2 linked regions of the Zea mays genome follow. Each later gene encodes a partner of the first gene's protein in a complex. Links are inferred from orthologs where the notes say so. Each region holds a gene or a part of one and is shown on either strand. Other genes may lie near its edges. The genes, in order: protein PLASTID TRANSCRIPTIONALLY ACTIVE 12, chloroplastic; Thioredoxin-like fold domain-containing protein MRL7 homolog, chloroplastic.

Region 1 (4,726 bases):
CTTCAGGGGTAGGCTCATGAAATTCAGGACCTCTGTAGTCAATCACTTCATCAGGATCCTGAACATAATTAATTGTTGGATAGACAGGATCACCGCCCCAAACTACACATTAAAAAATAGATATTATGTCCTGATCAGGATATTCCCCAATACAATTAAAGTGTATGAAGTAAACCTTCCTATTCAAAAAATATGTTCTTCCAATTTGCAAGAGTAGAGTAACTTTAAGGTGGCATTCAATTATGAAGAAGACACTGATTTTGAACAACATTTTTACTAACTCAAGCCACCCAAATGGTCTGCTGTTATATATAAGAAACAGGAGCATATTAGTTCAAGAAATGCACACTCAAATCAGTGGATGGGATTATATAAATCACCCAGAAGGTTCTGCAACACAGACACGACTCCAAGGTGTATGAAAACAGTTTTTTTATATTTAGCTTCTAATAATATTATGTAATTGTTCCTAGTTATTTCCAGTCGACGTTGTACCAGACTAGAATAGAGCATCTCTGTGGAGGAATAGAACAAAGAAGCTAATGTAAGACGAATAACACATGATTATGCAGCAGCAACAAAAAAAATAGACTTTAAAGACAAGACATGCAAAAGAAGAAGATTTTTTAGCAAAGAAATACTCTGTTTGATCTGGTCTTCCCGCATTCTCATGGCCAAAGGATCTCGCTGAATACGCACATCGGTGCCCATCATGATACGATATTCCCCAGCAGTTTGGTGTTGAAACATTTTTATAAGTTGAACATTCTCATCTTCGCCAGTTTCCTCAAAGTGCTTCTGTATGGCCTCACGTGATGTATCCTTGTTTTTATAAGCTTCAACCCATTCTGAGTAGTACGCTATTGGCCCTATTTCTTCTAGTCTCCTTTGCTCTGCTTCTAACCTGTTTTTATATTGTATATTAAATGTAAGAGTATAAATGGGCAAGATAAACTTGTGTCAATTAAAAAAATTGATCCTCGACATCTTTCTGATGCAGTATTTAAGAATATATGATGAGACCGCCACATATTTGTAATATGTGGCATAACTTGGAGAAGGTGTAAATCCAAGAGCAGTTAAATAGGTTTACGAAAGATTATGTGATGAGACCATGCACGAGTGGTGGTACTACCAACTCAAATGATGTAAGGCAATTAGTAGAAACAATGTGTGCACAGATATTCAATAAAATCATTCGGTAAAGATGTACTGCAAAAATATATGGTATAATAATTCTAGTATTCTGTGGATGTAAGTCAACCTTTCCTCTTTGTACAAATGTCTTCTTGTCTTTGCAAGAGCAGCTTCTGTCCGTGAAGGATGGTCCCCAAAAATTTTAATTTGCCCAGTCTCCGCCATTGCCTTTGCAAAAACCTAAAATGATACAGCATACATTACAATTTATAATGTGGATCGCCGTCACGGAATATAAGTTAGTTGAAACACCAGTCAACGTAAAAAATAAAATCACAAAGCCTCAACCATATCAAGCGATATGAACAGACAAACCTGCACATCGATATACATGCACAGACGTCAACGCCATAACCCATAAGCACAAACCTCACCTTTACATCTGTGAGACTGACACTCTTCTCACGTTCACAGTACAAACAGAATAACTGGAGAACCATAAAATAATTGACACCATGGTCGCTAACACTTGACAGTAATTAGCAACACAAATACCATATACTTGGCTAGCTACTTTTGGACGGATAAAACAAACAAAATGACACTGGAAGATCACATGGAAATTGTTCCGTACGTGCAACATTTATACTATATGAACTATAAATGAGGCATAGAAATACTAGCGAGTACCATAGCAATACTCAAAATCATACATTTATGGCCTTTTGTTGCAGTACCTTTCAATGTCCGGAATTGGTGAACAGCCCCAATATAAGGAAACATCACTACCTACCACTTGCTAGGTTCAATCAAGTGAGGAACTAACCGTGTCAACATCTGGACGCCTCCTCTGCCATCTTGACCACATTTCCTCCTCCTGAGACTTCCTCCTCCAGTGCCACCAGAGCTCTTCACTGGTTTTCGGCTCCCCTAGTGACATTGCCTTTGCTGGATCAATGAACGGGTGTGGCCGCCCCATCATTTTGTCCATGTCATACTCACTCAGCTCCTCTTCCTCTGGTGTCTCATAAATGACATACTCATCCACCGAATCCTTTATCTCCTCCAATGCATCGTCCCCAGAGCCTATAATAGCCACATCAGGTTCATCACCATCCTTTCTGTCATCAGTCTGTGCACCCTCCGTTCCTGACGCCGACGTCACCTGCTCCTTATACCCTCTCCTCCTGCTCCCGGGCTTCGTGCCAAATGATGGCATCCCAGCTGACTCCCCAACCGGAGCAGGCGCTCGCGCGGCACGGACGCGGGCCGCCGTGCCCTCTGGCCAGTACTCCTTCCCGGGTATGCTTGCCCGAGCGCCCGACGCCGGCTCGAGCTGACCGGATGTGGAGTCGAAGTAGCTGGAGTACGGTGGCGGTTCTATCTTCGACGGGTCGAAATGGAGAGAGTCGTCCTTGACGCACTTGATCCTGGCACGCCGCGTGCCCAGGAACAGCAGACCCCTCCGGTGAGGCAAAGCACTGAACACTTTCTGTGCACGCACCGAACGACCTCCAGTCAGGCGCGTAAACCGAACTGGAACTAGGAACCAAAGTTATAAACTGTACGAGGCGTTTAGGCACTTACCGAGGACTTGCAGGTGCGAGAATGAGCCGGCGCCGTGACGGGCCCGGCAGGGACCGCCGTCGACATGCCTGAACAGTTTCAACAGAGTGGCTGTGATATCTGACGAGACGAACTGTGCGCAGGGAATAACGAACGATGAAATGGGGTCCAAGCTGGAGGTTACCTGGGAATAGGCGCCACGGGTTGTAGCAGGACGCCATGGTAGCGGCTCCCGCTATGGTGCTGCTTGCAGCGGTAGGGCGTAGGCGTCAGTCAATTCGTAGTGCGCGGGCGAGAGTGAGGTGCGAATCCGGCGGCGAGGTTTTGGATGGGACCTTCGGAGATTGCCGCGTTCAGGATAACGAGAAGGCTGAAGGAAGAAAGCGCTCACGTGGAAGGAGGTTGTCTTTCGACTTTAGAGAAGTGTAATAGCGGGCTATAAGACTGTCGCTTCACTCTACACATCTCCTACCCTATTACTGTTCATTCTATAGTGGCTACAGTACTCTCCTACCTCCCGCAGCGGCGAGCGCCACTCTCTCCCCTACCTCGCCGCACTCTTCTCTCTCATGCCAGATGCAGGGGATGACTATAACCGCCCCCTCGCCTCCTTCACGCGGACGGAGCCGGCCGCGCCAGACTACGGAAACTTCTCGGTCCACCTCGCTTCGCCTCGACCCCTCCGCGGAAGAGCGATTTAGCGCGGCGACGCGGCGGCGGATCTCCCGTCGGCCGGTGGAGTCGGCCCCGGCCCCCCTCGGTTGCACAGAAGAGGACCTCGACTTCGTGACCACGCAGTGCCGTTCGCGACCGAAGACGAAGAGGAGTCCAATCCGCTTCCGGCGAGGTACGTCGCGACCGATTCGTTGGCTTCCGTCTCCGACCATCGACGGCGCCATCAGATCCACACGGAGACGCTTCGATTCGGCGTGTTGCGGCCGAGATCTCCCCTTCTTAAGGTATTACCTTCTTCAACCTCGTCAAATCAATACTTATTTCACGATTGATTTAGAACAGCACTCGTATTTTGCTTCGATTCGCCGTCTTGCGGGCGAGATCCTCCCTTCTTGAGGTATACCATCTTGTACCCCGTCAAATGAATACTTCATTCAGGAAATATTTAGATCAGCACTGGTTTTGTTCAAAAATCCTAGTTTATTTTGGCCAGCCCATATGAGTTTAGCAGATCCACACTTGTAGTTTGAGCTGTGAACTTGTTACGTTGTTCATCCTCCGATTTAGCCCCCTGGTGGAACAAACTTTGTCTGTACCACGACATGGGAATACACACCAACACTAAGTAGTCGTGCGCATTCGGAACCACTTTGAACCCTTCTTTGGGCGTCATGTTTCTAGGAGATGCAGACGGCCCCTACAATTTATCAGTTCACCCGTACTTGCCAATGGAACCAAGGTTTTCAAACTCGTAGCCTAACATTAGCCATGACAGCAAATCTATTTCCCCAGTGATGTTCATTCCACTGAAGCAGATGTTTATTAAGTGAACAAATTGTATTTGTGGCGTTTCTGGGGAATGTTACCCTTTCGTAGCATTTTAGTCTTCACCCATATATGGCATTCCACTGACACCCTGATTATGTCATAATTCATTGTGCTTGCATGGAATACACGTATGTTCATGAGTTGTTCACTACAATTCATGACATGTTCATTTACTTTTGACTATGATTATCTGCCTGATCATGTGTCTGCCTGAACATGTGTTTGACCCACAAACTTATGTAATGTTCAAGACTTCAAAATGTGTATCTATCATGACAATAGTTGTATCATTTCTATCTGCATGTACTACTTTCCTTTCTAGTTCTGTGCCATACACTTCCCTTACGTTTAATTGTGTTTATAATGTTCATGCTTTATGTACAATAACATGTACCTGCCAACAAATATATAAGTGCTATTGACAAATTTATTGTTTTCATGTGTCTGTTTGGTTTATGAATCGAACTGTACATGTCATATGTCATCTTCACTTTACTTCCTCCCTAAATTATGGACATTT
Region 2 (4,222 bases), about 10 Mb from region 1:
TGAGGTTAAAAAAAGTCACTCGCTGGTTCCCCTAGTTGTGTGCACACAAGATGGACTGGCCTATAGAGGGATCCTTATGTAGGGGTTGGGAGAGCTCAAAGCACGAGTAAAGATCTGGCCTATAGGGGGCGGACCCTCATGCTGCATGGGGAGCTAGCTTTCGTGACTTTCCTCGATCGTGCTTCGATTAAGCTTCTTAATATAATACCGTGAGGTGGTCTTTCCTTGCCGGCTGAGTTTTTTTAACCTGCCTGGGCCTAGAAGCCAGAACCAAACACGCCCAAAGTTTCACTGCAGTTACACAGGATTGAAGGGCCTTCAGAATTGTCCTTTTGTCCTTGAATTTCCTCTCTTTTTGTAGGCTGTAGTTGCTTCAGCCCTATGATTCCTGTAATTGTGCTTTTCTTTTCTTCAATTGTGTAACAGCCTCCCTCCCTCTCTCAGATAAAACTGGCAATGCTATTCTACACCTAGTAGCTAAAACTGACCATGAAATACTGAATACGAATGAACCACATCCAGTACCAACCAGTAGTACGCGTCAGTACCACGAAATACTGAATACTACTGACACACGACTATTGAGTGTATACATAACAATGTGTGCTTGTGTGTGCTTACAGCAGTAGGAATTTCCTCTACTGTTTTTCCGTTTAAGGGCTAGTTTGGGAACCACATTTTCCTAAGGGATTTCTATTTTTCCAAGAGAAATTAGTTCATTTTCCCTTGGGAAAATAGGAATCCTTTAGGGCTAGTTTGGAAACACCATTTTCCCAAGGGATTTCTATTTTCCCAAAGGAAAATGAACTAATTTCCCTTGGGAAAATGAAAATACCATGGGAAAATAGGGTTTCCAAACTAGCCCTTAGTAAAATGGAATTTCCCGTGATCAGAACTGCAGGGTGCTGTCGCTGGTGCATTGAGCTGGGGCTGGAACAGAATTGGATGCAGTAGCGGACCCAGAACTGAAATAGAGCCCGGACGAGACTTAAGACATCACTCAGATCAAATGATTCAAAGCTTCCGATTAAGGTGCTGCGATGAATAGCTAATTGTGCGCTGGCACCAAAGTCTGGCCAGGCGCCTAGGGTCGCTGGACCCTGGGTCCGCCACTGACTGTATGGACGTTTTAGCATGGAAACAAAACCTTCAGATTGAGAAAAATGGAGGATGAACTCCAACGGGAATCCTGTCAGGAGCTCATCTTATGGGCCGCATGGGCGTATAAATTGAGCTGGAAATACGTCCTTTGCTCTATTGTGGAGAGGCTCAACTAATAGATCCCCTTTTCTCTCCAATCTTCTAATGGGAGTTTCCTCTTCCTCTCAAATGTCACAATGATAAGTAGGTCTCACCTCTACTTACCTATTTTGTTTCTCAATTAATTTCCCGCAAGAAAAAAGGTAACCCTCACTATTTTTTTTATAGAATTCTCACAAGGACAATTTGAACCATATAGGGGTGGCTAGGTTGGGGTGTTAGTTTGACATACCTTTTTCTCTATATAAGATCTTGTTTCCCCTAAGGAACAATAATTGTGGACATTCTCTTGCTTGAAGTGCATATGCCAAATCCCTCTCAATATTTATATCAACTTTGACTGTCTATTAAACAAAACAAAACAAAACTTAGGACCTGCACAAAGACCAGTAACCCAGCCAAATAATCAAAAGATGCTATTCAAACTTACCCGAGGAGGTAAGCGATCTTTAGCATTCCAGTACACCTTAGCAGCCTTTTCCAATTCTTGAAGAAACTTCCAATTGTCAGCAGCCCTGCAAATCACAACATCATGCAGGGTTCAATACTACACAATCAAAGCCTCCTGTAAATAAACTAATAAACTTCACCCTAAACAAAGCAATTCCAGAAACTGAAGCCTGTTTTGCCGTTTATCTGTCAGTACCAGGACAGTTCTGAAGTTTCTAGTTTCGTTTGATTCACACTTTACGGACATCCGCATTACACAATGCAAAGCTTAAAATGGTGATTGGGTTACACACAGCCCATTCCAAACATAATGCCAACAGTTTACAAATCAAAACTAGACAGGGAATGGATGGTCCTTACCTGTTGTACCGCTCGAAGACTAGGACGACTAAGGGGCTGGGGTGGAATGCGAAGCTCTCCCACTCCAAGCAATTGATTTCCTTGACCCACCCCTCGTCGACGTCCCCTTCCCAATCGATCTCCACCCCGTCCACTGTGACATTTCTGATCGAGTGCTTGTCGAAGTACTCTGAGGCCCGGATCCCCCATCCGACATCGGCATCCAGCGGCCAGCTCGGGTCCTCCTCTTCCACCACGGGCTTCTGTTCTCCTCCTTCTCCCTCTCCCTCGTCGTCTGGTAATCGCTCCACATCGGCCTTCGGCTTCAGGATGTCGCCTTTGCCCTCGAGGACGTCGGGGTTGCGCTCCTGGATGGAGGCAAAGACCTGCTCAAGGCGGTTGCGGACGAAGTCCTCCACGGCCGCCGACTCGCTGCGGCGCCCACGGCGTGGCTTCCGGGGCTTGGTTGTGGGGAACCCTGCCTCGGTGGATCCATCCGGGTTCCGGTTGCGGGCCTCATGTGTGGGCTTTGGTGGTTCCGGGTTCGACGTCGGCTTCGGAGGCCGTGAAGACGAAGAAGACGGCGGAGGAGCGGATGAGACAAAGATGAGCTTGCGGCGGCGGCGGCCATGGCTGCAGCCGACACGGTTCAAGCTGATGGCGGGGGTTGAGGGTTTAAGGGCGGTGAGGGTGGGGAGACGGAGCATCGTGCGCGGCGAGAATGGGCGCGAGTATGCGGCTGGGTTTCGCCGGTCGGCAGGTGCGCCCGTGCTATCCGAATGGCGGTTTCTCGTCCGCCGTTGCCCGTTGGTCTCGTGATCTTCTCAAATCCAACGGCACTGACGCTTCCAGCCTCGTGAATGATTCGTGAAAGCATGACGAGTGTGAGGAACTGCCAAAATTAGAGCAAATGGAGTATCTTAATCCCTTTGGATCTCTCAAACCAAAAGAAGAGAGAAACTTATCTCTATAACATCAGTAAATGATAATTGTGTATGTGTCATATTTCAATAGTTAGTTTAGTCTAGAAAACATTATAAATTTAGACGAATGTGAAGAACTACGCATATATTGCTCAACCGTCCCAAACTCTAATAAACGAGAAGAGTCGTGACGTCAAACCTACCTATTCTAATAAGGATGGAACCCAAAAAATTCTATTGGAACTTAACCCTCTCGAACATTGTAATTTTTGGTTTTATAAACAACAAAGTACACCAATTAACTATGGAGCTATCCAAATAACTATTTCCATCAGTTGTGCTTCTGAAACCTTGAAATAATGTATCACATATTCACTGAATGTACACTTACTGTCAAAATGAGTTTGGAAAGATACAGTCTAACAGAAGAAAGTTGCACCCCTCATTGTGGGCTACCTAAGACGACATAAAGACTATTTTGTGCACCTTAGATGCTAATGCCATTTTCTATGGTCAGTTTCATAGGGGCTTCGTTCTTATTAATGGTGTGCCATGTCAGCAGTTTAGATGATGTGGCAAGCAATTAATAAACAAAGAGATGAAATGATTTTCATGGAGATGAAACCATGTATACATTATTACCTAGACATATTGTCTTTTACATGTTAACTATGAAACCGTGCTGAATGAAACTCTTCACTATGAGAGATTGTTTCAATAAATATCTCATTTCTTTCTTAATTATGAAATCTACCACTGTAAATGCCCCTAAGGAACAACATCAGCCAAGCAAGGAACACTAGCACGGGTAGTGGTGAGAATGAGAATTTGGCTAGAGAGAAACATAAGAGGTTTTAATTGAAAAAAAAACACAAAAGAAAACAGATCATCGACAATAAGGGTGAAAACGGTCGGAAACGATCGGTAAACACAAAAACCATTTTCGTTTTCATATTTTTCCTCGGAAACGAGATCGAAAACGGTAACTCCGGAACCGAAAACGATATCGGTAATTCGAAAACATCGAAAACGAAAGTTCGGTACAAAAATTACACCGGTTACGATCGAAATCTAAAAATTCGATCGGTAAAAATTGTAACTTGTACCCTCAATTGACTTCAAAAATTCACGTAAGTCATACATTTATATAAAATTAATAATAATATATAAGGTAGCAGGCCACAATAAATATATAAAATAAGAAATCATAAAACAATAAAATCATTATTATATATTTAAATAAAGTAGAA

What was found.
Region 2: protein PLASTID TRANSCRIPTIONALLY ACTIVE 12, chloroplastic (region 1) and Thioredoxin-like fold domain-containing protein MRL7 homolog, chloroplastic share a complex: the UniProt entries of both Arabidopsis thaliana proteins name them as parts of the transcriptionally active chromosome (TAC) complex. The link is inferred for Zea mays from reciprocal best matches to the Arabidopsis thaliana genes PTAC12 and MRL7.

Annotation. Positions count from the first base shown.
Region 1 is NC_050098.1:198,689,974-198,694,699, forward strand, and holds the start of protein PLASTID TRANSCRIPTIONALLY ACTIVE 12, chloroplastic, read right to left. Parts: upstream 3,117-4,726; 5' UTR 2,925-3,116; coding exon 2,888-2,924; intron 2,793-2,887; coding exon 2,725-2,792; intron 2,630-2,724; coding exon 1,964-2,629; intron 1,378-1,963; coding exon 1,265-1,377; intron 905-1,264; coding exon 642-904; intron 103-641; coding exon 1-102. UniProt on the Arabidopsis thaliana protein: Involved in plastid gene expression. Acidic transcriptional coactivator necessary for the transactivation of many PIFs target genes (class B genes), particularly during the regulation of hypocotyl growth.
Region 2 is NC_050098.1:188,497,992-188,502,213, forward strand, and holds the start of Thioredoxin-like fold domain-containing protein MRL7 homolog, chloroplastic, read right to left. Parts: upstream 2,801-4,222; 5' UTR 2,757-2,800; coding exon 2,071-2,756; intron 1,776-2,070; coding exon 1,691-1,775; intron 1,605-1,690; coding exon 1,493-1,604; intron 1-1,492. UniProt on the Arabidopsis thaliana protein: Plays an essential role in early steps of chloroplast development. Involved in the regulation of plastid gene expression. May positively regulate plastid-encoded RNA polymerase (PEP) activity through binding to FSD3 and CITRX/TRXZ.